Linked DNA regions of Macaca fascicularis. The protein of the gene in region 1 interacts with the protein of each later gene in a pairwise test. Links are inferred from orthologs where the notes say so. Each region holds a gene or a part of one and is shown in the gene's direction. Other genes may lie near its edges.

Region 1 (10,605 bases):
ATGGTACCCACATTATAAGGTTGTTAGAAGAATCAAATTAGATAGGGCTTGTAAAACATTTAGATCTACACTGGCACGTGGACATGTTTATCACGTAATAAGCAAGCTAACAACAACAATAATGAATGGCAAGGCAGGCTGCCTACACAGTGCCTCAGGGCTCTGTGCTTCCTTGTCCAAAGCTGGCACAGCCCTGGTATATCCTCCCTCACCTCTCTACATGTGCTGCCCCTCTCCTAGGGTCCCATCTGCTAAATCAGCAGAGAACTGAGAGATTCCTGATCAGAAACCTACCATACCTCTCTCTGCCTCCTTCTAGCTGCTGGGAGCCCCAACGACTAAAGTCTCCTGAAGTAGACAGAGTCGATGCCCTGGATGCCAGACCAATTATGTGCTTATCTGCCCACAGGCCCTGAAGTTCCCTGTGGCCTTGGAAAAGTGCAGACACCCGCCAATGCTCGTACACTCTTTGAGAACACAGAAGCATGTGCCTTTGGCAGGCTCTCCCCCAGAGCCTCTGCAGTCAGCAGAGGTAGGTTCTGTCCCAGAGCCTCTGGCTTTAGGACAGCCTCCCTGGAGTCAGTAGCTGGGCAGAACTGTTCTCAAACATCCTTTTGCTCCACGTGAGTCACCTTGGGGAGCTGCGGGTGGAGTTTAACGGCTGGTGGTCCTTGCTTCCATCAACTCACCTGGGCTGGGTCTTCCAGACCCGCCCTGTCCTGTTCTGCCCAGGAAGAGAGATAGATACACCTTGAGGGCAGGGCAGTGCCTTGCTTCTTGGGATGTCCCAGAGAGCCCCGAGCACATAGTTGGGGCCCAGTTAAGTGTCTGTTTAATCATGGAGGAGCCTGGGCAATTCCTACAGCCTGAGTCAGGCTGACTCAGATGGGAGCCAAATTCCCATGAAAGATCCCTGAAAAGGCCCTTAGTTCAGCCCTATGAGCCATTTTCAGAGCAGTTTTTCAATTTGTTCTATAATAATAATGATCATATATGATATATATATATATATATATATTTTTTTTTTTTTTTTTTTTTTTTTTTTTGAGACGGAGTCTCGCTCTGTCGCCCAGACTGGAGTGCAGTGGCACGATCTCGGCTCACTGCAAGCTCCGCCTCCTGGGTTCACGCCATTCTCCTGCCTCAGCCTCCGGAGTAGCTGGGACTACAGGCGCCCGCCACCACGCCCGGCTAATTTCTTTTTGTATTTTTAGTAGAGACGGGGTTTCACTGTGTTAGCCAGGATGGTCTCGATCTCCTGACCTCGTGATCCGCCCGCCTCGGCCTCCCAAAGTGCTGGGATTACAGGCTTGAGCCACCGCGCCCGGCCTTTTTTTTTTTTTTGAAATGGAGTCTTACTCTGTTGCCCAGGCTGGAGTGCAGTGGCACAATCTCGGCTCACTGCAACCCCCACCTCCCAGGTTCAAGTGATTCTTCTGCTTCAGCCTCCTGAGTAGCCAAGTAGCTGGGACTACAGGCACCCACCACGCCAGGATAGTTTTTGGGTTTTTTTTCATTTGTTTTTATTTTTTTGTTTTGTTTTGTTTTTCATACAGGGTCTCACTCTGTCGCCCAGGCTGGAGTGCGGTGGCACAATCTCGGCTCACTACAACCTCCGCCTCCCGAGTTCAAGCAGTTCTCCTGCCTCAGCCTCCTGAGTAGTTGGGATTACAGGCATACGCCACCACACCCAGCTAATTTTTGTATTTTTAGTAAAGACGGGGTTTCACCATGTTGATCAGACTGGTCTCGAACTCCTGACCTCGTGATCCACCCACCTCAGCCTCCTAAAGTGCTGGGATTACAGGCATGAGCTACCGTGCCTGGCGTGGTTTTTGTTTGTTTGTTTTAGAGATGGGATTTCACCATGTTGATCAAGCTGGTCTCAAATTCCTGACCTTGGGTGATCTGCCTGTCTTGGCCTCCCAAAAGTGCTGGGATTATAGGCGTGAGCCTCCACGCCTGGCCCATATATGATATTTCATATAGGAAGAGTTTACAAAGCATGAGAAATATATCTACAGTATGTTGTAAATTGTCATGAGTTACTAGTGTGTTTATTTATGCCTCTAAACAGAAATACCCTGAAATAGGATAGCTGTTATCTCCATGTGGGGAAACTGTGGCTATCAGAGAGGGTATAGAAATGCTCCAAGACCTCACTGAGCAGAATCTAGGTCTTCCCGCTGCTGTATCACACTATGCATTTCAATCAAAAATTTACTAAGCCTCAAGTGTTGTGCTGTGGTGAGCAGGAGCTGGGGAAGGAATATTTAGAAATGGCACACTCAGGGCCGGGCGCGGTGGCTCATGCCTGTAATCCCAGCACTTTGGGATGCCAAGGTGGGTGGATCACGAGGTCGAGACCATCCTGGCTAACACGGTGAAACCCCGTCTCTACTAAAAATACAAAAACAAAATTAGCCGGGCGTGGTGGTGGGCACCTATAGTCCCAGCTACTCGGGAGGCTGAGGCAGGAGAATGGCGTGAACCCAGGAGGCAGAGCTTGCAGTGAGCCGAGATAGTGTCACTGCACTCCAGCCCCTGCGACAGAGCAAGACTCCGTCTCAAAAAAAAAAAAAGAAATGGCATACCCAGCTTTGTGAGATCCTGGGGAATCTGGCCTCAGCCCACCCTCCCTCCTTACCCTACCCACTTCTTGGCCAATCTCAAACTCTCCCTTAGCTTCAGCCACCATTCGGACCACAGATTAGCCAGCTTGTGACTCTCCAAGCTGTATCTCCAGCCCCGACAACTCCTTTGAACTCCAAAATTATAGACCCAAGTGCCTTCTGCACACTTTCCATCTGGGGGTATCTCAGCATTGCCAGACCAGGTTCAAAGCTAGACCCCCTCCTCCCCAACACCTGCTCAGCATCCTGCATTCCTGTCTCAGGTGGTGGCTTCCACCTAATCACCTAGGTGTCATCCTTGGTGTCTCTCTCCTCCACCTAAACAGCCAATCATATTGCCAAGTCCTATCCATTTTCCTCCTAAATATTCCTCAGATCCAGCCCTTCCCCTTCCTCCCTATACCTTGTGTCCCAGCTCAGGCTATAATCCCTCGATAACAACCTCCTTCCAGCCTCCCTGCCCCCAGTCTTATCTCCCATGCATTCATCATCCCAGCAGCCTATCTGTACAGGTTCCTCCCTGCCTCAAACCCCTTCTGTGATTCCTCTGTCTGAAGAGATGAAGTCCAAGTTCCTTAATGAGGCTCCCTTTGATATGACCTTTCCACCTTTACAGCCTCTCCTCTAGCCACTCGGGCCTGCCCGCAGAGTCGACTTCATCTTGAAATTTTTCATTTTGTAACAAAGGGCCATGCATTTCCATTTTGCACTGGACCTCACAAATTACGTTGCCCGTCCAGCCTGCCTGTTGTTGCTTGCACCCCTCTTGCAGTTTGTGGCCACCTAAGCTGTGTCTCTGTAGTCTCCTCCATCTAAAACTCCTCTTCCCACATCACCCAGCTATCTTCAGCAAACTCCTCTTCCCACATCACCCAGCTATCTTCAGCTGTTCGTTTAGACTCCATGTAGGTGTTCTCTTTGGGACGTCTCACTGATCCTCCTCCTTCCCCTTCCCTGCCCTAATCGCCCCACACGTTGCAGGTGCTTAACCATGTCTACTTGAGAAACTTAATGAGAAGGCAAAGCATGACAAGTGCCACAAGAGACCTGTACACTGCTCTGGATGGTAAAGTGACGCAAGAAGGGAAGAAGGCATTTGCAACGGCCTCCCAGATCGGCGCTAGGACCCCGCCAGCAGACACCTCAATCCGCACGGAGAGGACCCAGTGCCCGCCTGGGGAAGCTGCTGCCAAGCTGGGCTCTCGGGCGCCGCCTGCCTCAATCGCACGGCCGCTGCAGCGCACCCCCGCCAGTCCCCGGCCGTGAGCCCGCCTCGCGTCTCCGATTGGCTGTCTCCATTCTCCCGCCCCTCCCGAGCTCAGCCTTTGGAGCCTTGGGGTGGGCGGGGCTGAAGGCCTGAGTGGAGCGTATACCCTGATTGGCTGTACGGAAGGCGGCGACGTGGCCGAAGGAAGCCCGTTTGTGTCTAAACTGAAGCTCGGCCATAACGCCACTGGATTGGGGCGGGGGGGAGCGGGCCAGAGTCTCCGGCCTGAAGCGGAAGTGGAGGAAAGATGGAGGTGTGGGGACAGGAGCTGGGTGTGCTGGGAACTGGCCGCGGACCCCTAACCTATGTCCCCGGTCTCCCTCCGGGCGCGGCTCAACCCAGCCCATCGCTCTGGCCTTGTTCTGGCCCTGCAGGGTGGTGGTTGGGACCGTGAAATGAGCGCGCGAGTGGCTCGTCCTCCCAGCCGCGCTCACGCCCCCCTCCCCACCGTGTTTCCCTCCAGGACCATCAGCACGTGCCCATCGACATCCAGACCAGCAAGCTGCTCGGTAGGAGGGGGCGCCACCGCTTAGCTGGCTGTCGGGGGGAGGCCTGTTCGTTGCCCCCTGTGTCCAACAGCTGGGAGCTCTGACGCCTGAAAGCCAGGGTCGAGGTGCTGACCACTGGCTTCGTTCTACGCCCCACGTGTGGCCAGACCTGCTTCCCTGAGAGCAGCCGGAAGGAACCATATGTAGAGTCTGTTTGACCTGTGTTTTCTCCTTTAATAACATATGTTATCTATCATTCAGGGATAGGATAAATGACTCCGGGCGACGTGGCTCATGCCTGTAATCCCAGCACTTTGGGAGGCCGAGGCTGGCGAATCACCTGAGGTCGGGAGTTCGAGACCAGCCTGACCAACCTGGAGAAACCTTGTCTCCATGTCTCCATGACTAAAAATACACAGACACAAACACAAAATTAGCCGGACTTGGTGGCACATGTCTGTAATCCCAGCTACTCGGGAGGCTGAGGCGGGAGAATCGCTTGAACCCAGGAGGCAGATGTTGCGGTGAGCCGAGATCTCACCATTGTGCTCCAGCCTGGGCAGCAAGAGCGAAACTCCATCTCAAAAATAAAACAAAAAACAGTCAACCGGCCGGGCGCGGTGGCTCAAGCCTGTAATCCCAGCACTTTGGGAGGCCGAGACGGGCGGATCAGGAGGTCAGGAGATCAAGACCATCCTGGCTAACACGGTGAAACCCCGTCTCTACTAAAAAATACAAAAAACTAGCCAGGCGAGGTGGCGGGCGCCTGTAGTCCCAGCTACTCGGGAGGCTGAGGCAGGACAATGGTGTAAACCTGGGAGGTGGATGGAGCTTGCAGTGAGCTGAGATCCGGCCACTGCACTCCAGCCCGAGCGACACAGCGAGACTCCGTCTCAAAAAACAAAAAACAAAAAAACAGTCAACCACTAAGTGGCACATTTGGAACTTAAGTCTGTCTGACCCACTGTCCATGCCCTTTGCATTAGGCCAGAAAAAAAAAAAAAAAAAAAAACACCCCTCATTTAAAAATCTTCACCTCCCACTTGATTTTAGGAGGAAGAGAGACCTAAGACCCAGTTGGAAATGAAGACCTTTTAGTGTCCAGGCCATCTCCAGGTTATCTGTATGGGGCCTGCATGCTTCCTCCCCAGTTCATAATCAGGGAAGGCCTCTTCGTCTGATCACAGCTCCTGGCATTTTAAAATGCTTATTGGATTCATGGATTTGATGCCAGTCTTGTCCTTAAGATGGTATCTGATGGCCGGGCGCGGTGGCTCAAGCCTGTAATCCCAGCACTTTGGGAGGCCGAGACGGGCGGATCACGAGGTCAGGAGATCGAGACCATCCTGGCTGACACAGTGAAACCCCGTCTCTACTAAAAAATACAAAAAAACTAGCCGGGCGAGGTGGCGGGCGCCTGTAGTCCCAGCTACTCGGGAGGCTGAGGCAGGAGAATGGCGTGAACCCGGGAGGCGGAGCTTGCAGTGAGCCAAGATCACGCCACTGCACTCCAGCCTGGGCGGCAGAGCGAGACTCTGTCTCAAAAAAAAAAAAAAAAAAGATGGTATCTGACTACCCCAGTCCATTGCTTCTAGTTCTGTGACATCAACATAATTTTTCTTTCTGAAAACTTTACAGGAATATAGCAGAGGGAGTATAACTGATACTAGTGTGGGACCCCAGTGTTTGACTGGTTGGCAGAGTACAGGTTCTGAATTCACCACTCTGTGGGGCCATTTAGTCTGTCCTGCTTGGTGGCCATGAGGGGCTTCTTTAGCCTCCCTTCAGATTTGTACTGGCCCTTCAGCCCATGTGCAGTCTTGCTGTGTGAGCTTGTTCTTGGTCATGAAAAGGACCAATAAAATGACTACCATTCATTGAGGGTTTGTTTTGTACCAGGTGCCGTTTTAGGCACTTAACATGATAAAAATGATCACTATAATTTTTTGAGTTCTTGCCATGTTTTAGGCACACTGTTCAGTGTTTTACCTGCATTCCCCTTTCTAGTCAGTGTCTTATTATTCCCCATTTTACATGTGGGAAAACTGAGGCACAGAATAGTAGACTTGCTCAAGAAACTTGATAACAATAACTAGAACCCAGGACCATCTGACCACAAAGCTCAGCTCTTAGCTCTCACTGAGGAAATATGCATGGCTCTGAAGCCACAAATCTGGGCCCAGACTTTGAGAGGTCAGTCCCATTGGTATTCACATGTACAGGGTGGTACTTCACTGTTCACAATAGAGTCATGTTATCTAGTCCTTAGGGCGCTGTAGGTATTAGAGGCTTTGCAGCTGTTCATTCATCCGGTACTTGGCATAACCATCTTGCATTTTCCATTGTCATGGTTAATCCCAGCCCTGAGGAAATGGAAGTTGAGCAGCATCCTCTGTCAGGAAGAAAGATATAATTACCCATAGAAGCAAAAATATTATGGGGAATTGAGAATGGTCAAAAGTGGCACTTTCATGTCAGGACCAATTGAAACTTTGTGTTATCCCTGTGTTGAGGCAATTGCTCTATAAAAATCACACTGCTAATGAAGTCAGATTGTCAGAGCCTGTATAGCCCCAGGCATCTCTTTGGGCTTGTCTTTATTCCCATCTTTCCAGAACCCCATACTTTATTAATCAATGTAAAGACAACTTTTAGACTATTTTCAGTGTATTTCACTCCCATTAGTGAAGGAATTTTGGTGATGTGAATGGGAATACTCCAGTTTGGGTGCTTCTCACGTAGATTGGCTGGTGGACAGAAGGCACTGCAGCCTGAAATGGCAGAGTCTGGTGCTGACGATCCGAGAGAAGATCAATGCTGCCATCCAGGACATGCCAGAGAGCGAAGAGATCGCCCAGCTGCTGTCTGGGTCCTGTGAGTGCTTAGGGGCTGTCACTGGAGTCCCTTCTTTGCTGAGGTAGTATGTATCAGCTGAGCTACTCCCTTGTTATGTAGACACCAGGGCTGGCCTTTAGAGAGGGAGCGATTTTTATTTGAGGTATAGATGCTGGCTTCTTCCACTATGATATGATGAAAGGAAAAGCTACACACTAAAGTTACTGGCAGTATATTATACATGAATCAGCCACCTGCAGTGCCCAGAGTAGGTGAGGAAGATATTTTAGTTCTCAAAATCCTGTCTCTTGCTCTCTAGACATTCACTACTTTCACTGCCTAAGAATCGTGGACCTTCTCAAAGGCACAGAGGCCTCCACAAAAAATATTTTTGGCCGATACTCTTCACAGCGGATGAAGGCAAGTGTGGGCCAAGGGCTGGTAGTATGTGCCTGGGGACATCCAGTCCAAGGAGTCATAGCCTGTGTTGTCTCTCTGAGGCTCCAGTGGAGATGCCTACATAGAATATTTCCTGAACTTTTGCTCTGTCTCTATAGCTTATTCCAAAGTGGATCCTATCCCTGAGTTTAATTTTCAAACCCACTGCTTTAGGGATCGCCTGCACTCTTAAAGTGGGTGGTCCAGCCAGCAGAGTTGAAAGGACAAGGAGTTTGTGTTTGATGTAACATGAAGGCTGGGAAAACTTCCCCTGTTTAGGGATTGAGCTGGGATGTGGCTGTTGAGTGCTTTTCTGGCTTAACATCATCTTTCTGTTCTTACTCAGGATTGGCAGGAGATTATAGCCCTGTATGAGAAGGACAACACCTACTTAGGTAAAGTGGCCTAGCCTGGGAGCCCCGGTATCCATGGGAAAGCCCATTCAGAGTTCTGAGATACCAGGCTTATAGGAGGCACAGTCTGTGAGTGGGAAGAGACTGGAGTGTAGATGTTGCCTATTTGTAGGTGGTAAAATCAATTGTTTTTGATGGAATTGATTTTCCCACCTACAAATTGATTTTCCACTGGGTGGAGTGCTGGGGGAAGGAAGAGGTTCAGGCTGGTAGTGGGCATTCGCCGTGCCTCAGCGAGCAGGCGTGTGTGGGTCCTCCACCACTCACCTCTTCTTGGTAAGCGGGAGTGTGCTGCCCCCACCCCCACCCCCGCACCCCCATTCTACACAAGACAGAAGAGGCACAGGTTTTCCTAGGAGCAATATCAAGTGCCTGAGAGAGAGCAACTAAAGGACTAACTGTGTTTGGGTTGGGTTTAGTATAAATAGTAATGATCGCTAATATTTACTGAGCATCTACTAAACGCAAGGAATTGTGCTTGGTGTGTCGTCTGGATTCTCTCTTGCATCTTCGTGATAAATGTTATTGTCGCTGTTTTACAGATGAGCGTTGGATTAGAGGGGTTAAATAACTTGTCTTAGGCTCCACAGCTGGGAACAGGCGGTGCTGGGAAGCTGACCTCATGCTCTTCACTACCACAAAGGGGGTGTGTGCATGCTGGGGCCTGCCTGCCTCATAGGGGGGTGTCCTGGGATGAATTTCTTGGGCCCTTCTCAGTGGAACTCTCTAGCCTCCTGGTTCGGAATGTCAACTATGAGATCCCCTCACTGAAGAAGCAGATTGCCAAGTGCCAGCAGCTGCAGCAAGAATACAGCCGCAAGGAGGAGGAGTGCCAGGCAGGGGCTGCTGAGATGCGGGAGCAGTTCTACCACTCCTGCAAGCAGTATGGCATCACGGTGAGCAGCGGCAGCCTCTTCGAAGCCAGAGGACACCTGGGCCCCTGCTTGTCTTCCTCTGACCCCGTCTGACTCCTCAGCCCGGTTGCGTCCGCTTTGGGCCAGTGTCTTACTTTTCTTCAGTCTTTGGATGTTTTCTTCAATCTGTTGGACTCCACCTCTCACCACTTCTGTCTCACTCCCCATCTTCTCCCCTCTGTAGGGCGAAAATATCCGAGGAGAACTGCTGGCCCTGGTGAAGGACCTGCCGAGTCAGCTGGCTGAGATTGGGGCAGCGGCTCAGCAGTCCCTGGGGGAAGCCATCGACGTGTACCAGGCCTCTGTGGGGTTTGTGTGTGACAGGTAAAGAGGCCTCAGCTTCTCCTGGTGGGCGTGCTTTGCCTGTGTTTCCCAGCTCATGTCCCTTCTCCAATTGTCTTTTTCCCATATAACATTTGAACTCTTTTTACACACCTGAACCTGTGGAGGCCTTGCCCATTTGACCATCTGGCTCAGGCCAAAGGCCAGTGTTGGCCTCATGCATGGTCTGCAGGAGAGTCAGTTGTGTGCTCTGTTGAAGCCCCACAGAGGAGGTGTTGCCAATGCTGCGGTTCGTGCAGAAGCGGGGAAACTCAACGGTGTATGAGTGGAGGACAGGGACAGAGCCCTCTGTGGTGGAGCGACCCCACCTCGAGGAACTTCCTGAGCAGATAGCAGAGGATGCGGTAAGATGGGCCTTGTGATGAGCTGTGGGAGTGTAGTGGGAGCTGCTTGTCCCCTCCCCACCCCCAACAGCCCAACCCAAGACCCAGAGGGAAAAAAGGGGATTTGTGTGAGAATGACTGTAGGTAGAAGGGCCCAGGAGGCCCTACTCCTTTATTTTTCTGAGTATAGGTGAGTGAGTGCCACAGAGGTTTTGCAAGGTGGTTCAGTTTGAACTGGGAGCCTCCATCATGTGAGCTCTCTGAAGATGGGCTTTCTTTGGGGGAGCTTAGAGGCCACTGCATTTGAACAGTGTGCTCTCTACAGAAGCAGCTGAGGCCTTTGGGAAGGCAGTCCCACCCTCCTTTTTAATTAATTTATTTTGGAGACTGGGCCTTGCTCTGTTGCCCAGGCTGGAGTCCGGTGGCATGATCTCAGCTGACTGCAACCTCTGCGTCTCAGCCTCAAGCGATCCTCCCAAGTCAGCCTCCCAAGAAGCTGGGATTACAGTCATGCGCCACCACTCCTAGCTAATTTTTTATTAACATCTTTGTAGGGATAGGGTTTTGCCATATTGCCCAGGCTGGTCTGAAACTCCTGGGCTCAAACAATCCCCTCTCCTCAGCCTGCCAAAGTGCTGGGGTTACAGACATGAGCCACCACGCCTGGCCCTTTTTAAATCCATCTTCCATGAGCTAACACTCTCTTTCCCTTTCCAGATTGACTGGGGCGACTTTGGGGTAGAGGCAGTGTCTGAGGGGACTGACTCTGGCATCTCTGCCGAGGCTGCTGGAATCGACTGGGGCGTCTTCCTGGAATCAGATTCAAAGGTGAGGAGGCCTTCTCAGTCTGTCTCTCTCATTACTACTCTAACCATCAGAAAAGTGTCATTTGTGTCTGTAAAGGCATCACTTGAAGTTCATAGCTCTAAGACCAGGTATAGTCCAAGGGAGG
Region 2 (10,476 bases), on another chromosome or scaffold:
GAAAGGAAAACATGTTATAAAAAGAAATGTTATATCTAGCCAGGCCCGGTGGCTCACAGCTGTAATCCCAGCTCTTTGGGAGGCCAAGGCGGATCACCTGAGGTTGGGAGTTCGAGGCCAGCCTGGCCGATATGGTGAAATCCTGTCTCTACTAAAAAAAAAAAAAAAAAAAAAAAAAAAAAAAATTATCCGGGCATGGTGGCAGGCGCCTGTAATCCTAGCTACTTGGGAGACTGAGGTGGGAGAATCACTTGAAACCAGGAGATGGATGTTGCAGTGAGCCAAGATCTTGCCACTGCACTCCAGCCTGGCCACGACAGAGTAAGACTCCATCTAAAAATAAAATCAAATAAAAATAAAAGTAAAAAATAAATGTTATATCTGATGAGTTGAGAACTATTAAGGTATTGAAACAGAGAATCATGAATTCTTGTTTCTCTTTAGTAACTGGGCACTTCCTCAACAATTGTCACTAATTTTATGGATGGGGCAGGCTATAGACTGAATGTCTTTGTCCTCCTCAAATTAATATATTGAAACCTAATCCCCAATGTGAGAGTATTTGGAGATAGGGTCCTCTGGGAGGCAATCAGTGCCCTATAAAAGAGACCTCTGGTTAGAGCCCTATGAGATTAGTGCCATTATAAAAGAAACCCCAGAGAGATCCCTCACTCCTTTTTCCATGTGAGGACACAGCAAAACAAAACAAAACAAAACACAAAAACCAACAAACTATAGTCTAAGAACCAGGATGCAGGCCCTCACCAGACACCAAATCTGCTGGTACCTTGATCTTGGAATTCCCAGCCTTCAGAACTGTGAGAAGTAAATTACTGTTTACAAGCCACCCACTCTATAGTATTTTGTTACAGCAGCCTGAATAGACTAAGACAGGTAAAGGAAAAGAAGATAAAGAAGAAAGTTCAACATTAAATTGGGATGGTCATGCAGTCTTATTTCTAAGAAGGTGGTTTTTCATGTTATAGGTTGTGTAAGGTTGCAGAATAGTATGGTGAATGAGTGCACAGGCTCTCTAGTCAGATTACCTCATTCAAATTGTGGCTCCACTACTTGCTGTGTAATCTTCGATAAACCACTTTATTTCTCATTGCCTCGATTCCTTCTGAGGCATAGTGAAGTGGAGGTCATAATATCACCTCACAGGGTCCTTGTAAAAATTAAATGAGATACACATTTAAGCGCATAAAAGTATATGGTATATAGAAAACACTAAATAAATGTAAGCTATAATGAACTAGAAACTATATCATTCTGAAAAAGAAACTGCTGGCCAAAGATGTAACAATAGGGGATATTTCACAAATTTTCCAATCTTTACTGTATACTTCAGTAAAGTCATTCCTGTTAGACTGTATTAATTTATGTTTGAACTTCCAGTAAATCTTTCCTCCTTGCAAATAAAAACTACCTCATGGATTTTCATGGCATTTTCTATCGTTATTTTTCCATAGAATCAGAAGTCACTGATGTAGTTTTTTCTGTGTAGTAAGGTTTATTGCCAATTTCCAGTAGAATAGACTTTACTGTGTACAAAATATATATTATTCGAATATGCAAAAAATGTAAAATATAACTCATAGCTACAATTATATATCCACACACCTCAAAATGAAACACAAGGATAGTCACACTATTCATATTGGTAAAATCTTTCAAAATTTTTATTTAAATTTAAATTTTCACTTAAATATCAAGATTCATTAAAACGTTCTATGAGACAGTAACTGGGCTATACTATGGTAGATGCTACAGAAGCTGCTATGCAGTCATCATTATCTAGCTGGGATAAAATTGACCTTAATGAAACAACCAATAAAGTTAAAAAGTAGAGGATAAGTAACTACGGTCATTTGCTGTATAACATTTTGGTCAAAGATGAACTGCATATACAAGTGTGGGACCATAAAATTATAATACTCTATTTTTACTGTATCGTTCTTATGTTTAGATACAAAAATACTTACCATTATGTTACAAGTGCCTACAGTATTCAGTTCAGCAACATGCTGTTCAGGTTTGTAGCCTAGGAGCAATATGATATACTATTTAGCTTAGATGTGTAGTAGGCTATTGCAGTTAGGTTTGATAGATGTACTATATGATGTTCCCATAATGACAAAATCCCTGTCATTAAGTGAAACATAACTGTACTAAGTTGGATGGTAAAAGTCATAAGGGCTATACAGAAATCAGAAAACTGTCAAAATGGCAAGTAATCAAGGAAGGAGGTAAAGTAATTAAAGTGGGAGGAGGCAGTTTGCCAATTAATATATATGTGACCACGGGCATGTTAACTTCTCTGTGCTCACTGGGTCTTTGTTTATAAAATCTAATGTATTTAAACTGCCTAGTACAATCTACATGAACTGAGTGTTAAAGAATGGCCAGGTGGTTATGAGTGAAAAATGATTCAGGTAACAGAGCTAATAAAAGCTGGAGATGGGAATGCTTTGAGTAGTAGAGATATAAATCTTTAAAAAATTTTGGCACACATAGAAAGAAAAATAAGTTCACATGTAATTTTATATTTTTCTATAAATTTATATAATAGCAAACTTCTTTTTTCCTCCTGCATGGAAAAGTAACTTTCATTCAGTATTCCCTGCTTCTCTTCAACTTGGCTCAGGTTATAATGGAAAAGAGTTACTCTTTCAACAGTGCAAAGATTCTTTGGAAAAGAAACAGAGCAGTGTCAATAATTCAAAGTCACAAAGTCAATTATAACACACTGTTTACTTGTTTACAAAGATGATACCTCAACAGATTGACTTCACCACACAAATAAAAAAAGAGCATTTATTAAGACAAAGAGGAAAGAGGGAGAGAAAAATAATTGCTCTCTGTTGTGTGAATCTTGTTTGCTATTTCTTATGGGATAACTGATTAGCTGGCAGGCAGTAAAGAGGTCATTCTGGACACATTGTCCTTGGTAGGCTGACTAGGCATACAAAAAACCCTGCAAGGTAGGCTGTTTCTCTGTATTATCTGCCAGTGACCTTCCATCAGTACTTTATCTTAGTTGAACCAGAGCTACACTCCTTCCCTCGCTAGAAGTCTTAGTATATATGCTGCATTCCTCTAAATCCTTTTTTTCTAAACCTGTACTTCTGAGTCTGTATTTGAAAGTGATCATAATCTGGGGTGCTCAAAATGGAGTTTCTTTTACAAAGAGTTATAATCATAACCGTTTATTCGAATATAAATGTAAGACATTAAACATAAATATGCAAAATTTACATTTCCCTTTGGTCTTGCATTTTTCCAAGGATTAACACCATTATTCTCACTCCAACAAACTAACATATTGTACTGGTAATCACTATCAAATGAATTGTAAGGGCTAACTGACTTGAACAGACAATAACTAACCTTACTTTTAAAGTAAATATTTTAAGAGACAATAGCATAGATGCCCCGGCACATAGCTGATTATTGCTCCTGTGCTGCAGTGAATTACCACATGAACACATTTTGGCAAAGATTTGTTAGCTTCACGTCTACAGGCATTATGAAGCAGGAAACACTTTTAGATTAAGATTGTAACCTGAGGAAAAGAACATATGCATCAGTTTAGAAATTAAAATCCCCTGAGATATTTCTTTCAGTACCGCTCAAAAGCCTCAATTTGTGCTCCTGTGCCAGTCACCTCTACGTAAGGAAAAACATTTTGCTACTCTTTATTAGTTAAAAGTGAAGAGGAAATATTGTCCACTTGCTTTGTAGATGTTGGCCAAATTATATAAACTTTAAAATCTGTAAGACAAATTGAAATATTCCTTTATTATGTCTTGTTAGGAGGAGAGAAGTTTGCCTTTCAGCTGCTCCTTAATTTTAAAAATAACACTAAACATAGTAACACTTCTCTTTAAAAATCAAACTCTGCTCATCTAAATTTTTTGGTAATAGCCGAGAATCCATACCTTAAAGAAGGAAAGCCTGTGAGTTTGTGAATCCACTTTCCTACTCACGAGAAGCCCTATGAACTGACTTGAATAGACAGTAACTAACCTTATTTTAAGAAACAATAGCTTAGGTGCCTTAGAAATTCATTCAGAGGCTTATAAATCCACATTAACACAGTTCTCACATGTTTGAGTCTGGTCTACATCCATTTACGTAAGTAAAACTCCCTTTCCAGATTGATGAAATTCTTTTTGTGACAAGAAGACAAAGGAATACAACGGATTGATAAGCGTAGTCACCGGCGCAGAGTTCTCGCGCGATGTTAGGACGCTACCGCTCTGACATCACCGGTTGCCATGGTAGCACCGCGGCGAGTAAAAGAGGGGTGGCGCTAGACGTTTCGGGCAGAGTGCGGCCGCTGCGGAGACAAGGAACTCTCCCTCTACCGCCAGTCTGACTTCTACCAAAATGAGCGGCCTGGATGGGGGCAACAAGCTCCCTCTCGCCCAAACCGGCGACCTGGCTGCTCCCGACCATGCCTCAGGAGATCCGGTCCTAGACCAGTGCCAAGTGCTCCATGAAGAAACCGAGGCGACACAGGTGATGGCGAACACAGGTGGGGGCAGCCTGGAGACCGCTGCGGAGGGAGGTGCATCCCGGGATCCTGTTGACTGCGGCCCCGCGCTCCGCGTCCCAGTTGCCGGGAGTCGCGGCTGTGTGGCGACCAAAGCCGGGCAGGAGGATGCTCCACCTTCTACGAAAGGTCTGGAAGCAGCCTCTGCCTCCGAGGCTGCTGATAACAGCCAGAAAAATGGCTGTCAGCTTGGAGAGCCCCGTGGCCCTGCTGGGCAGAAGGCTCTAGAAGCCTGTGGCGCAGGGGGGTTGGGGTCTCAGATGATAGCCAGGAAGAAGGCCAAGGAAGTGACGACTAAAAAGTGCGCCATGTCAGCAGCGGTGGAAAAGGAGGGAGAAGCAGGGGCGGTGATGGAGGAAAAGAAGGTAGTGCAGAAGGAAAAAAAGGTGGCAGGAGGGGTGAAAGAGGAGACACGGCCCAGGGCCCCGAAGATCAATAACTGCATGGACTCGCTGGAGGCCATCGATCAAGAGTTGTCAAACGTAAATGCCCAGGCTGACAGGGCCTTCCTTCAGCTTGAGCGCAAGTTTGGCCGCATGCGAAGACTCCACATGCAGCGCAGAAGTTTCATTATCCAAAATATCCCAGGTTTCTGGGTCACTGCCTTTCGAAACCACCCCCAGCTGTCACCTATGATCAGTGGCCAAGATGAAGACATGCTGAGGTACATGATCAATTTGGAGGTGGAGGAGCTTAAACACCCCAGAGCAGGCTGCAAATTCAAGTTCATCTTTCAGGGCAACCCCTACTTCCGAAATGAGGGGCTCGTCAAGGAATATGAGCGCAGATCCTCCGGGCGAGTGGTGTCTCTTTCCACTCCAATCCGCTGGCACCGAGGCCAAGATCCCCAGGCTCATATCCACAGAAACCGGGAAGGGAACACTATCCCTAGTTTCTTCAACTGGTTTTCAGACCACAGCCTTCTAGAATTCGACAGAATTGCAGAGATTATCAAAGGAGAACTGTGGCCCAATCCCCTACAATACTACCTGATGGGTGAAGGGCCCCGTAGAGGAATTCGAGGCCCACCAAGGCAGCCGGTGGAGAGCGCCAGATCCTTCAGGTTCCAGTCTGGCTAATCTCTGTCCTGTGAGAAGCTTCTGCACAAGTTTCCTTACCACCTCCTCTTGGACCTATGCTTGGCCAACAGCATGCAGTCTTCTGTCTGCTTTCTCTTCATACTGCGGATTATCTTTTCCTTTGGTTCTTCTAAATCTTCAGTAATCAGTTGCAAGATTATTGGCTTACCTGCCCATGCCATTCTTCCTCTGGACCTTCATGCTTTTCTGCATTGTGTTAACATGTTTCAAGTGCATGGCCTTCTACGGCTTCTATGCCAAACATGATACTATAGATGTACTGTACCATACTGCCTTTCTTTGCATGGCTTGGACCCTGTCTGTGACCGTGGTCTTCTCCCAGTTTAGGTGGTTCTGTACCACAAAGAATCTTGATACATCTTCACAAATAACTACTGGGCTTCATACTTTATGCTGGCTGTGTACCTGATACCCATGTACTTATGGTAAGCTCTTTAGGTATTACCACTGCAAGACAAAACTGATATCTTAACCCAGCCGTCAACCCAAATTGGACATTCCAGACTACCACCAACTGGATCCCAGCTGCCTTCCTGGGCTTGTGCCATCCACCCTACTGGTTATCTGGTAGAACAAGCTGGTGGCTGGTGGGTGACTGCTAGGCATGAATGAGGTAATAGATGAAAAGTGTTCTATGATATCACATTGGTGTTCCTGTACCTTTGGTTACTCTACATCATGACCAGCTACTGGTAAGTATGAAGCCTGTGCTGTAGCCCAGCCCTACTTGCTCTCACCTTCTGGTTGAACTTTGCTTAGGCCACCATTGTCTGCCTTCAGGAACTATCTGTAGACGTAGCTCCCAGGGAGCTCACAGGAACACCCCCTACCACCAGGATGGGCAGTCATATGTGACAGTGCCCAAAGCAAGGCTGGAACGCAGTCCCTTCCAGCTTAGTCTTTCTGATTGCTAGCCAACAAACCATCCTTAATCTGAGCAACTTCTTTAGGCATTTCCTCTTTTCCCCGCCTGCTCCCACTCTGAACATGACAAAGTTGCCAGAGTTGGGGCATTGAGGAAGAGATATTTCTGGAATGTGAGACTTCTTATGCCTCTGTCTCTGTGTCTCTTTCTTTCTCTCCCTCCCCCTTCCCCTCTCCCTCCCATCCCTTCTTTTCTTCCCTTTCACTCTGAAGCAGTTTTAGCTTATGAACAGAAAACAAAACTGGCAAAGCAGACTTTTTGTTTAATTTGCTCTTTCCTTGATTGTGTTCAGAGAGGAAAGGTATGATTAAATGGGTTCCAGATCTCTTATTGCCCTTATTCCTCCACCCCACTTCCTTTAGCAAGGTCTGACAATTTCAAAGGGAGACCTATAGGTTGTTTAGTTAGAGGCAGTGTTCTTTTAGGCAGGTTTTGACATCTTTATCTTTTACCCTATCCATTCTACCAAAACCTGTGTATTTCTTGAGCTTTTAGTTTGAGAAGCTGGAAAGAGAGAGAAGGGCCTTACAGTGATGGGTTCAGGACAGGTCCTGAACAGGATGTGAGCGAAGGCAACCAAAACTTAGCTTCACTCCACTTTTCTAAAGATGGAAATGCTTTTTTAGGCCTTGGACTGCTTGGAAATGACCCAAGGGTAGCATTTTGTAGGTCATTCTTCTCCTTTGTACTACTTTGTTCCTGCCCTGATGTCCCATGTGTCTTCATCCTACTGCCTGGCTTTCTTGGCCCTCATTTTTCAGCTTCTGCATTTCCTTCCTTGCTCCTAACAAATGAAGAAGCAGGCTGCAGCCTGCATTCTGGAAGATCTCCAACCTCCTTGTAGGGGATAAGGGGAATTTTTCCCTTTCGATTTTGAAGGCTTTGACCTAAGCCCCTTTAGGGTTGAGGAGGTCTGAACACACACAGTGGAGAGGTTAGTCTAGGTTGGGAAACTGAGTAAGTCCAGAGCAGAAATGAGCCTGCTGTGGAGTGGGTTTGGAAAGGCCTACAGGAAAGACCCTGCAGGGTCAGGGGTGGGAGGGTAGGCCCCTGAGGTGCGCCCCAGGGAAGAGGAGCTGGTATTTAAATCGTATGCTTGGAGGAAGATTTTCCTTCAATTTTTCCTAAGTCCTTGAATTCACCAGTAGATTTTTGTAAACAAAACTGTAAGGGTGTTTCCTCTCGATTATCCTAGGAGTGACCTTTATATGTGTGGAAGATTAATGGTGTATGCTCCTTATGTCACTGTTTTTGAGTAAAATCTATTTCCTTTCTCCGTTTCAGCCTATGACAAAATTGATGTTTACAGGCCTGCTTTTTGCTTATAATTGACAACATGTGCAAAAATACCAAATTTGTGTCCTGTGCAGTATGAAGACTTCAGTGAATATTCATTAATGTATTAGCTTGTTCTGCTCTCTGTTCATATATGGCTCTATTCTTAGAAATATAATTTGAATGTGATCTTTCAGTAGTCTGAATATTTTACAAATTGTTGCTATGTCTTGTGAAAATAACCTCAAAAAGAAAAATATGACTCTGTTGTCTTACTTGATACTTCTTGCCCTAGTAATGTACTTGACATTTATGTTCCTAAGCAGTGTAAGTACTAGTAGAATTTCTCTGTCAAACTCAATGATGATTATTAGTACTTTTGTCTTCTCCCATGTGCTTGAAGGAAAAACAAAGTGTCACTACTGTATTTCTTGTTTTCATCAAAAAATAAAAATAAATAAAAAATTCTGTTGTCTAGGTTAATTTAAGGTTAGGAAATCATTAAAGTTATCAAATGATACCAGTAACTATCATCCTGAAAGTTAAAAAAAAAAAAAAAAAAAAAGCAACAGCCACCAAACCTCCTAAGATTTTTCACTTGAAAAATGGTAAATAGAAGCCCAACTACAACTGCATACTCATGAGCATTATTTTTTCTATATAACAGTGCAGTTTTTGGTGGTAATTGAAGCACCATATAGTATCACTTAAAATACTGTTTTCAGTGGAAAACTTGTCTATGCAGCATCCTTGTTCATTACATTTATATTAACTGTGCCTTCCGAGGTCTAACTCTCAATAAGCTTAAGATAGACTTTTGGAAGAATTAATTATTGTGTATTCTGAGTGCTACTTACATTATTTTCTTACACCAGTGTGTGGCTTTAAAAAGAATACCAAGAAAACATGAAATAAAATGTCTAGAGACAAATGATATCAGGCATCACAACTTTAATTACCAGTAATGATAGTTTTGCTGTATAGCAGCAATTACATGAAGTTTTATTGGATAAATACCTCTGCATTCTCTGCAGTAAGGAGGGCTTTATGGATGCTGCAAAATCTGTGAAAATGAATTGCCAAGTATTTGTAGCCATTTAAGCAAAAATTTGACAAAAATGGCCCAAAATTTCTCATTTGAGTTAGAAACTTAATTAAACATACAGTTAGATAGATGCTGACTCCTGGTGCAATTGTTACTTGCAATTTCTTGCTGCAGTATTTTTTTCTAGGGCTGGAGAACTTTAAGTATTAGAGACCTAGGTTTTCTTTTGCAAGCTCTACATCCATCTTAATCCTAAATTCCCCTAACAATGTTCATCTTACCTTTTCAGTTCAGTGACTGATTTCTGCATTGTCAACCACCTGTTTCAAGCTTTATTATACATTTTCTGTGCCTGTTCTGGATGTAATCAGAAAATGTCATTTTTCCTACACTTGGCTTATTATCTGCTTTAGTCTAACCAATAGCATTCACTCTAATAGGCTGGTGCCACTTATTTGTTACAGATTAGCATGGTTTCTGTTCCGTTTAGTCTAATAAAATTAAAGTTACTCAATTAGGCATCTTACAGGTTTCACTTACCAACCAATTGGTTCACTGCTATAGCCCTGCTCCATTTCTTTGTATTGCTTTTTCTTCCATAATTCTAGACCCCAATTATTCTTTATGTGGACCTCCAAACCTGTTAAGAGGTTCTCCCATCCTCTGGTCACCTAAGAAGTATTATCATTTTAGTCTTCTCAGGCGATAATCTCTGTGAGTAGTGGTGACACTGCATAATTTCCTGGTCCTCACACAACATTTCCTTGGGCTTCCATTTCTGGGCATTCAGCACAAGCCAGACACTTATAAAAGGCTTCTCTGACCTTCTTATCAGGCCCTTCTCCCCATTACTCCTGGTGCTGCTGCTTTGTCTCCAGCTAACTCAAGCGTCCTTAAAAGTTTTCGTCATTAACGAACAAAAACTAAAACTCTTACCTGTATTTTTAATTTTTGAGTTCCTGTCCTATAGAATCACAATTTAAGACCTGGATATTTGATCTTGTTTCAGTGACATATTCCCTGGCTTCACAATCTCCTCAAAAGATCTGAGGTATGTCAGGCACTTCGAAGTGCAGTCTCTTATTACTTTGATAAACCTTGTAACAAATTTTATTCTTTCCATTTAAATAGTTGAGAAAACAGAGGTCCAGAAAGTGGAAGTAAACTGCCTAAGATGCAAGTCTCACTGCTGAGTTTTCTGATTTCAAGCTAGCATACCTTCCACACTATCACAGCTATGGTAGTAAATTTGGCATACAAATGTTAAACCCTATTGACATGAGTATTCAGGCCTCAGTTGAAGGTTATGTTTAATCATTCATGAACAGCCTTTGACAGGAGTACATTTTATCCCTTGATTTAATACAGGATTCCATATAGTTACAGATGAACACATTTGAATTTACTTACGTAATCTTGATGTTTGCTGCACATGAATGAAATTTAACAGTTTGTTCCCTTCATCAAAGGCATTGAACATTTAATGTACCAAAAAGACATTAAATGTTATACTCACGGAATTTAGCTGCTAAGCATTGTAAAGAACTGCTGACATTTCCGTTAAATTAAAAGA
Region 3 (9,996 bases), on another chromosome or scaffold:
ACCTCCTGCCAGAGCTGATTGCACTTAGGTGCTAGGAAGGAGTATTTATCTCCAAGGTCTGAATGCATCCTAATCCTTATTGAACTGCAAGGTGTGATGGCAAGACTTGGATATGTAAGTGAGAATTGATTTTGGTCACAGGGGATGTCATAAATTTCCTCAAAAAATAAAAGTAAAAAAAGAGGACAAAGGAGTGAGAAAAAAATGGCCTTTCGTTATGGGAAACTGGGAGTTTTTCCTACAGATTTCATTCCTGCCTTATATGGGTTTCCTGGAATTCTTCTAGAAGATTCCAGCAGTGCCCTCTGGATCTGCCCTCTGCCCCCTCAGGGTTAGGATTCATAGTATGTGACAGTCTTTGCTATTCCGCCACCTTCTGGGAAGGCCAATGGCCAGGGGATGGTTTGCATGAGCCCTCAGCAGGGTGCAGAAGCCAGGTGATCCCCGTATCTCATTCCCACGTTTGGTAAACACCTCTCTTATGTTTGCCCTCCTGGGCTTGTTGCTCCTGGTCCCCAGCTCATCACAGCTTCCCAGGGCCCCAGTAGAAACAAGGGTTCGCATTGGGTAACCTCACTGTGCTGCAGCTGGAACCTGGCTTTCAGGACTTCAGGACCTTTGGTTGAGTGGTTTTAGAAAAGGTTACTCAGGGGCTGGGCGCGGTGGCTGTGGCTCACAACTGTAATCCCAGCGCTTTGGGAGGCCTAGGCAGGTGGACCCCCTGAGATCAGGAGTTCAAGACCAGCCTGGCCAATATGGTGAAACCCCCTCTCTACTAAAAATACAAAAATTAGCTGGGTGTGGTGGCGGGCACCCGCAATTCCAGCTACTTGGGAGGCTGAGGCAGGAGAATCACTTGAACCTGGGAGCAGTGAGCCGAGATCATGCCACTGCACTCCAGCCTGGGCAACAAGAGTGAGACTGTCTCAAAAAGAAAAAAAAAAGAAAAAAGAGAAAAAGAAAAGGCTACTCAGACTGAAGTGCCCTCAGGCCTTTGAAAAGAAATGAAATTTCAAACAAATAATTTTCTACTTAGCCTGTTTCTTTTAACTCCAGAAGGGTTATCTGCATGACTGGTACTTACATAAAAAAATAGTTAAAAGTCTTTTTAAACTACAGACAATATAGGTTTCACCTGGACTCATTTTTCAAGATACGAAATTGTTGGATTGTTTTCCTTTGGTAATTGAAGCCCGAATTCAATGTTGTCTCTAACGTACTTTCAGATTCTTTGCCCTCTGGAGAACGTTTTGCCCACTTTGCAGGGGTTATGAGCGAGTGTCCCTGAGGGTCTCTCTCTGCCCCCTCCCAACGCCCGGCCGCCCTGTTCCGACTGCTCCCCCTGCCGGTCGGATCCGGACACTGCAGGGAGCCTCATGTCCTCGGATGATGGATTCCTTCTGTACCTCTCATCATGTCCTTTTCTACTGGCTTCAACTCGCATGTCCTCTGTCTTCAAGAAAGAAAGAAAAAAATGAAATATTTCTTTTGCCTTCCTGTCATTTTACGCTGTCGCCCTAACTGATATACTTGGAGGCAAAGGGAATTGAAAGGGCGTGTACTTTGGAACCAGACAAGCCTCAGTTCAAGTCCGGGCTTTGGGAAACCATGATCCGGGAGTTCTGGGGCAAAGTAAGGCTTTCTGAGCTTTAGCTGTATTATTTGTAAAATGGGAATAGTACCGATCTCCTAGAGTTATAGTGTTAAATGCCTCCCTTCCTTTCTTTACTCTGACTTCCTCCACCACCACCTCATGGTCCCTGATTCCTTTCCTCCCTTCCCTGCAAGCTTCCGAATTCTGTGTGCCCCGGGCAGCATTGGCCCTTCTGGGGCTCCCTGCAGTTGGCAAGAGCAAGTCACTGTGTGAGCAAGTCTTGGGCTCTGTTATCTTCAGATGCTCAAGTCAGGAAATAGAGGGCTGGAGGTCATTGTGCTCATTTTCCCAGAGATTATCAGTGCCAACTCCACCCCTTTTAGGAGCTGACATGTGCCATGATCGTAGCTCAGTGGGATCTTTAATGCCTACTGATCTCGGCTTAACAGGACAAAGATTCCAAGACCACGTCTGTTCTGGGAAGCAAAGCAGGATGTGTGGGCCTGGAGTGAAGCTTTGTTCCACTTCTTGCCATAGGCCATGGTATGAGTACAGCTGTGTCCAGTGCTGCCTGGTTTTACTTTCATGCCTGATTTGCAATGTGGCAGGGTCCTGAGATGAGGGAGCTCTGTGTGGGCCAGTAGAGTCATGAGACTTTGGCCTGGTCACTTGGCTACTTGCAGGGGATTCTGGAAAGGCAAGTTCTCTGAATCTCAGTTGCCTTCAATATAAAAGGAAAGCTATAGTTTCTGGCCTGATTGATTCACATGATTTTGGGAGGGAGTGAATGAAATTAATGTAAATTAAAAACACATTATGAGTAGCAAAATGCTATGCAATCTAAAAATGACATTTTAATAACTCTTATCATATGTGCCAGACATTGTTCTAAGCTGTCTACAAATAGTAACTCATTTAGTTGAAAGCTCACAACCACCTTATGAGAGAGCTGTTAATATCACCACTTTACTGATGGGGAAACTGAGGCACAGAGCGGTTAAGTAACTTTGTGGAAGGTCACACAACCAGCAAGTGGTACAGTCAGGGTTTGAACCAGGCAATGAGGAATCAGCATTTGTTATTGTTCCTATTCCTATAGCCTAGCTGGAAGGGGAATGCAGTGCTGGTTTGGAGAACACATCAAGCAGGCCTCCTGTCATTCACTGAGTGAGATGAGATGATGGCCATACATTGCAGCACAGCCAGCTATCCATGGGTCTGCAGCAACAGATCAGTCTTGCAGGGACATGGATAGCCCCGCTAGTGAACATTCACATGTTGTTCAATGAATAGCTAGAGTAAATGGTTGGATCTCATTTAGGGGCATGCTCTGGCATCCCACTTTCACGTCATTTGCTTTCCAGGCCCACTCCAGGATGAGAGTACTGATGTGCCATAAAAGACCAACAGGCAAGATGTTGGAGGGTTCAGGAGCCACCAAAGTTGTGTTCATGCTGACCTGTGGGCATAGCATACAGCAGTGCCAGTTGCTCTGCTAAACCCAGGAGCTGAGATGCTGTGTTGATTTCTACATGTTCCAGGCAAACACTTCCTGAGGATTGTTGGGATTTTCATAACGGATTGGCCCCAGGACCATTGAGCCAGCATGTATCTTTGACAGGTGTACCGAGAGATGACCTTTAAACCTAGGGATGTGCTCCAGATGCAGTTCCAGCTGGGCCAGTAAGAACTGCACGTTTATAGTGCTGTTTTCTCTTTCCTTCCCAGGCGGCCGGGATTGCTTACCACCTGCAGCGTGCTTTCGGAGGCGGCGGCTGGCACGGAGGCCGGGCTACATGAGAAGCTCGACAGGGCCTGGGATCGGGTTCCTTTCCCCAGCAGTGGGCACACTGTTCCGGGTCCCAGGAGGGGTGCCTGGCGAGGAGTCCCACCACTTGGAGTCCAAGACCAGAGAGTGTGGCCTTGACCTGGGAGGCCTCTTGGTTGGGAGCCCTGTTTCCAAGAGCGCAGCAGCCCCTGCTGTGACCTCTGTGAGAGGAACCTCGGCACACTTTGGGATTCAGCTCAGAGGTGGCACCAGATTGCCTGACAGGCTTAGCAGGCTGTGTGGCCCTGGGAATGCTGGGTGGCAGCAAGAGTTTGCAGCCATGGACAGTTCTGAGACCTTGGACACCAGCTGGGAGGCAGCCTGCAGTGATGGAGCAAGGTGTGTCCAGGCAGCAGGCTCTGTGCCATCAGCAGAGTTGAGTAGCAATAGCTGCAACCCTGGCTGTGGCCTTGAGGACCCCCCAACCCCTCCTGGCTCTCACAGTGCCTTTGCCTCAAGCTTTAGCTTTATTCGGCTCTCGCTTGGCTCTGCCGGGGAACGTGGAGAAGCAGAAGGCTGCCCACCATCCAGAGAGGCCGAGTCCCCTTGCCAGAGCCCCCAGGAGATGGGAGCCAAAGCTGCCAGCTTGGACGGGCCTCATAAGGACCCTCGATGTCTCTCTCGGCCCTTCAGTCTCTTGGCTACACAGGTCTCAGAGGACTTGGCCCAGGCCGCCGGGAACAGCTCCAGGCCAGAGTGTGAGATGCATTCTTTACCGGACATGGACTCTGGTTCCTCCAGTTCTCTGGATCCCTCACTGGCTGGCTGTGGTGGTGATGGGAGCAGCGGATCGGAGGATGCCCACTCTTGGGACACCCTGCTCAGGAAATGGGAGCCAGTGCTGCGGGACTGCCTGCTGAGAAACCGGAGGCAGGTGGAGGTCAGTGTCTCCTCCACCTCTGCAGCCCGAGATTGTCGTGAGCTCAGATTAGCACTGGGCAGATGGCAGAAAGTGAGGGGTTCTGGGCTCAACTGCTATCCTCCTAAAAGCTGCAGCAGCTCCTTTTGGAGCTGGCTGAACAAGGATGTTGCTACACTTCTGTCTCTTTGAATTGGACACAGATCTACCCTCCCTTTTGTCTTCTCTGTCACGTAGGTGCTCAGATTTGCTCTCCATTGGGCCGCAGGCTCCTCCACAGGCCCTGGCCTAGGTGAGACGTGGTTAACTCAGCTCAGCTCTGCTTTGAGACAGGAAACTGGGGGCAGGGGAGATTGAGCTGGATGATGTTTAGAAGGGGTTGAGAGATACAAAAATGGGGATGCCCTGTATCAGGGCGATCCTGCTCTTCATCCACTTCACTCATTCCCTTCCATCCTGCTGCAGTGACTGCTGCCTTCCATAGGATCAGGAGACTTCGCTTCTGGTCATTGAACCTCTCCGGCTCTCAGTTTCCGTATTTAGAGATAACACCAACTCATAGGATTGTTCTAAGGCTCAAATGAGAATGTAGCTGCTTTGGAAATAAGGACAAACTGGAGACATCTAAGGCCCAGCCTTATGATGTTGCTGTCTATCCAGTTATCTGAGAGGTGGGTATAGCCAGAAGTAGGCAGGGTTCCTCTACCCACAAAAATTCCCAGAGAAGCCCAGGTAGAGATGCTCTGTGGCTGATCTATTGCCAGACTGTGTTTTAATCCTGGTGGGTGTACATATGTGTGTTTGTGTGTGTGTGTGTGCACATAGAGGTGTGCATGTGTGTGCTTGTATGTGTTTGCATGTGCATGTGTATGTGTGTGCATGTGCGTGTGTTTGTGCATGCGTGTGTGAGTGTATTTGTGGGTGTGCTCATGTGTTTGTGTGTGTGCGCATATACGTGTGCATGTGTGTGCGTGTGTGTATGTGTGTCTGCATGTTTGTGCTGTGTGTGCATGTTTGTGCATGCGTGTGTGAGTGTATGTATTTGTGGGTGTGTGTGCACTCGTGTTTGTGTGTGCATATAGGTGTGTGTGTGTGCGTGTGTGCATATAGGTATGCATGTGTGTGCGTGTGTGTATGTGTGTGCATGTTTGTGCTGTGTGTGTGTATGTGTGTGTGCATGTTTGTGCTGTGTGTGCATGTGTGTGTATGCATGCGTGTGTGAGTATGTATTTGTGGGTGTGTGTGCACTCGCATGTGTGTGGGGATGTGTTCATGTGAGTAGGGAAGTGGAGCACCCACTCATCAGGCATTTGGGAGGAGAATCTGCAGAAGCTCATGCTCATTCCCCGAAAGAGCATCTACCTTCCGTTCTTTATCTGCAGTCTGGTGTTCCTAGCCCTGTCCCTGTTTGCCCTTTTTCAGCCCTCAGGGACCTCAGCCCAGCCCTCTGATTTATTATGCAGAGAGGGATTGAGGCCAGAGCAGAGATGCAGGCTGGTATTCTGGGTGATGTGTGGAGTCTTCCAGTTAGTCATTGCCTAAACCAATGCCCTTGTCTTTCCCCCAAACCCATTCTGAAGGGCCTCCAATATTGGTTGATTCGAATGCATAGAATCTATCCAGTTTCTTAGGCCAGAAACCACAACCATCTTCCACACCTCCCTCTCCCTCGTTCCACATCTGGCCGGCCTCCAAGCCCTCTCAGTCCTACTGCTCATCTGTCTCTCACCACCATGGCCGCTGCCCTGACTCAGATCCTTGTTATCTTTCACCTGGGTTTAGCAAGAGGGTCTACCTTCCTGCGGTGTTTCTCTTCTCCAGTTAATTAAACTAAATGTGATCGTATGTGCAAAGTGCTTCAGACAGGACCTAGCTCCTAGCAAGTACCCAGAAATTGCCCATAGTCATCATTAGAGAAATAGCTCCTATTTAGAGAGTTTGAGTCAAAAGCTAATGAAGCTCTCCCTTCTGCCCATAGCTCAAATTAAATTCCTATCTTCTCTCAAATGGTAGAATCTGGATACACTTTTTCTGTAGTGTAAGTATTGTTGTCTATGGCAGTCCCACACCTGGGCAGGGAAAAACATGGCACTATCTTCAGTTACACTCGTGTACTGCATAATGACATTTTGGTCAATGACGGATCACATATATGATGTGACAGTGGTCCTATGAGATTATCATACAGTGTTTTTGTTGTACCCTTTCTACGTTCAGATATGTTTAGATACACCAATACCTTACCATTGTGTTACACTTGCCTGCAGTATTCAGTACAGTCACAGGCTGCACAGGTTTGTAGCCCAGGAGCAATAGACTCTTCCCTCTAGCCTAGGTGTGAAATGGGCTACACCATCCAGATTTGTGTAAGCACAATCTACGATGTTCACCCAGTGATGAAGTCACCTAATAATGCTTTTCTCAGAATGCATCCCTGTCATTAAGTGACGCAAGGCCGTACTTGAGTATCTGTTGTGTGGGAGAGGAATTAACTGAGTAGTGGGAATGACGAAAATAACTCAGCCCAGGGCACAGGACTTACAGGAAGGCAGAGTTTGCCTCAATAGGAGGAAGAACCTCTTGACAGTGGGAACTGTCTTGATGGGGCGGGCTGCTCAGGGACTTGTTTTCCCATGGTGCTTACGCAGAGGCCCCAGACTGCTCACTGGGGTTGTGGCTGAGGCCCTCGGGACGGGGCGGAAGGTCGGGTGAAGGATCTCCAAAGAGATCCTTTGAAAGAGTAGGATTTCTAGTGTTTGGGGGCCTTTTTGATATTATATTCTAATTCCTTAACCTCCTCTCCCTTCTACTTAAGTAAAAATGGGAATCTCAGGAATTTTAAGTTTCAGCTTCTTCTAAAAGATGCTTGATCCTCAGTATTCATGGATTCTATATGTGTGAATTTGTCTACTTGCTAAAATTTCTTGTTAACTCCAAAATCAATACTCACGGCACCTTTATGGTCATTTTTCATTTTTATTTTATTTTTTAAGAGATGGGGTCTCTGTCCTCTAGGCTGGGGTGCAGTGGTGTCATCATAACTCTCTGTAACCTTGAACTCCTGGGCTCAGGCGATTCTCTTGCCTCAGCCTCCCTAGTGGCTGGGACTACAGGCGTGTGCCACCATGCCTGGCTATTTTTTTTTTTTTTGGGGGGTAGAGATGAGGGTCTCACCATGTTGCCCAGACTGGTCTTGAAGTCCTGGCCTCAAGCGATCCTCCTGCCTCAGCCTCCAAGGTACTGGGATCACAGTCATGAGCCACCATGCCTGCTGGTAATTTTGAACCTGCACAGAGTGGCAAAAAATTTGGGTCACCTGATGTACACCCTTTCTACTTAGGTCAAACAAGGTCAGACCAGATGACATTCTACCTTCTCTCTCATACTACAAACTAGTACCCTTTTTGTGGTCTATTTAATGCCATCTTTTTTAACATTTTTGTGCTCTTTATTGGTGAGTTCACCATTGCAAATGCCCCCCAAGCATAGTACTAATGCCATCTAATGCTCCTAAGCATGAGAAGGCTGTGATGGGCCTGATGGAGAAGATATGGGTGCTCCAGAAACTTCATTCAGGCGTGAGTTAGAGTGCTGTTGGCCAGAGTACAATGTTTATGGATCATTAATACATATTAAATAAATTGTTTTTAAACAGAAACACACGTAGAACAAGGTTACTTGTTGATTGATTGAGGAAAGTATTGTGACCAGGGGCTCACGGGAAGCTACCCTGTATTTCCTCCTAGGAGCAATGCTTCATTATTCCCTAATTCAGTATTTACAGAAACTTTACAGAACGTAACTACAGTACTGTGAATAAGGAGAATCAACTGTGTATATTTTATGCTGTTTAGAAATCGCTGCTTAGCGAGATTTCCAGAGGTTGTGTGGGACTGAGAGGATAGTAATAAAGGCAGTTGGTGATCAGGCATGCAGAGGAGGGGAAGTGGAGTGGGCCCTACAAGGTAGGCTCCACCTAAGGCCGTGGAAACTGGTGAAAAAGGAAGGACTGTGCCTGCAGGGCATTATAGGACATTCCACAGGCAGGGTTGTGGTACCGTGCAAGACATGGCCACTGGGGCTGTGCTTCCAGCAAAGATGGGTATTCAGACATATCCCAGGGCAGTCCATTCAAGGCCTTATAGAGATCACTGGACAAGGTGGGCATCGTGGGGTGGGCTTTGGCTGTAAATGAATTTTTTTCTCTGTCCCTGTTTCCTGCATTTCTTCAGCTTCTGTTCAAATAAATGTTTAACGATACCATCATTTGGGTGTGGTGATGGTAATGCTATAGCTTTATGTGGCCTTCAAACATTCACAGAGCCTTTCTTCTCTCCCTGATACACGGGACTAAGTTACTGGCAAATTTTGCAGTTGTAATATAGAGCAATTCAAGGACAAAGGGGTTAATATGATTATTCATTCATTCTTTCATTCATTCAGAAAGCATTTATCAATGACAACTAGTACAATGCCTTATGCTAGGCTTTGGAGGTTGTGTTAGTTAGGATAGGCTGGTAACAGACACTACGTTACAGGCTCAACACAACAAAATTGTGTTTCTTGCATATGCTTCGTGTTCCACAGAGGTTTTAGGGGGGGCTCTGCTCCATAGAGTCACTCAAGAACCCAGCCTGCACCATCTGAACATGTGACCCCCTTAGTCACAGTCATGAGGAAGAGAATGTCAGGGAGTCCTACAAGAGCCATCAAATGCTTCAGCATAGAAGTAACCCCATCATTGCCACTCATACCCTGTTCAGCAGAACAAGGAGAGAGGCACTTGTACTCTTTCCATGTGCCCAAAGCAGTGGAAAAATCAAGTAAGGGTAAGTACTAGCGTCTTATACATGGATGCAAAATAGTTCTTGCCCTCCAGATGCTCAAGGTCGAATGATATGCACAGATAAAACCAAACAAAGCAAAAGATGGCTATAGCCTGGTGTAATAAGTACTCCATTCTTCCAGTGGCTCAGAAAACAAAAAACAAAACAAACATTGGCATCATCCTGGTGCGTTTTCCTCAGACCCCACCTGTGAGGTATTAGCAAATCCTGTTGGCTCTATATTTAACCAGCGATCTTTTGAATATATCCGGAATCAGATCACATCTCACCATCTTTGCCATTGCCACCATCCTCATTATCATCCAAGCTCCCGTCATCTCCTTCCTGAACGTTACCATGGCCTCTTACCTGGCCTCCCTTCTTTTGCTCTTACTAACAGCAGCCAGAGTGAAACTGTTTAAAATGTAAGTCAGATCATGTGCTCTTCCGCCCCAAACTCTCCAGTGGCCCCCATGAACTTCAGAGTAAAATCATAACTTTTAAATGTCTTCTTGTCTTTTCTTGATACAGTCCTCATTACCTGTGTGACCTCGTTCTCTACAGTTTTCCCTTCCATCAATCTGTCCCAGATCCAGTGGCATTCTTGCTCCCACTTGCTTTTCATTTCACTTTCACTTCTTGCTTTCTTACCAGAAACACTTCTGCCTGAGCCTTTGTACTGGCTCTTCCCTCTGTGGCAATGTTTTTCTCCCAGACAGCCTCATGGTTCACTACCTTACCGCTTTTAAATCTTTGCGTAATTGTCACCATCTCAAGGAGATCAGATTTCAAATTGCACCCTCTACCAGCATCCCTGATCCCCATAACATGGTTCTCCCTTTTCCTTTTTCATAGCGTTAGTCACTTGCTGAGGTGCCATAAAACTTAC

Evidence for each region.
Region 2: the proteins of CDK5RAP3 (region 1) and TSPYL4 interact in binary tests that used the Homo sapiens proteins (3 or more experiments, as listed by UniProt). The two-hybrid records come from large-scale screens. The link is inferred for Macaca fascicularis from reciprocal best matches to the Homo sapiens genes CDK5RAP3 and TSPYL4.
Region 3: the proteins of CDK5RAP3 (region 1) and DISC1 interact in a two-hybrid assay, tested with the Homo sapiens proteins (2 studies listed by BioGRID and IntAct). The link is inferred for Macaca fascicularis from reciprocal best matches to the Homo sapiens genes CDK5RAP3 and DISC1.

What each region holds. Positions count from the first base shown.
Region 1 is NC_088390.1:58,756,861-58,767,465, reverse strand, and holds the start of CDK5RAP3 (CDK5 regulatory subunit-associated protein 3), read left to right. Parts: upstream 1-4,122; 5' UTR 4,123-4,147; coding exon 4,148-4,153; intron 4,154-4,363; coding exon 4,364-4,409; intron 4,410-7,130; coding exon 7,131-7,262; intron 7,263-7,542; coding exon 7,543-7,643; intron 7,644-8,007; coding exon 8,008-8,056; intron 8,057-8,791; coding exon 8,792-8,970; intron 8,971-9,172; coding exon 9,173-9,312; intron 9,313-9,529; coding exon 9,530-9,674; intron 9,675-10,370; coding exon 10,371-10,481; intron 10,482-10,605. UniProt on the Homo sapiens protein: Substrate adapter of E3 ligase complexes mediating ufmylation, the covalent attachment of the ubiquitin-like modifier UFM1 to substrate proteins, and which is involved in various processes, such as ribosome recycling and reticulophagy (also called ER-phagy).
Region 2 is NC_088378.1:20,269,551-20,280,026, reverse strand, and holds TSPYL4 (testis-specific Y-encoded-like protein 4), read left to right. Parts: upstream 1-4,326; 5' UTR 4,327-4,392; coding exon 4,393-5,637; 3' UTR 5,638-6,350; intron 6,351-7,867; 3' UTR 7,868-8,115; downstream 8,116-10,476.
Region 3 is NC_088375.1:17,382,515-17,392,510, reverse strand, and holds part of DISC1 (disrupted in schizophrenia 1 protein), read left to right. Parts: intron 1-3,322; coding exon 3,323-4,302; intron 4,303-9,962; coding exon of another isoform or gene 9,963-9,968; exon of another isoform or gene 9,969-9,996. UniProt on the Homo sapiens protein: Involved in the regulation of multiple aspects of embryonic and adult neurogenesis. Required for neural progenitor proliferation in the ventrical/subventrical zone during embryonic brain development and in the adult dentate gyrus of the hippocampus.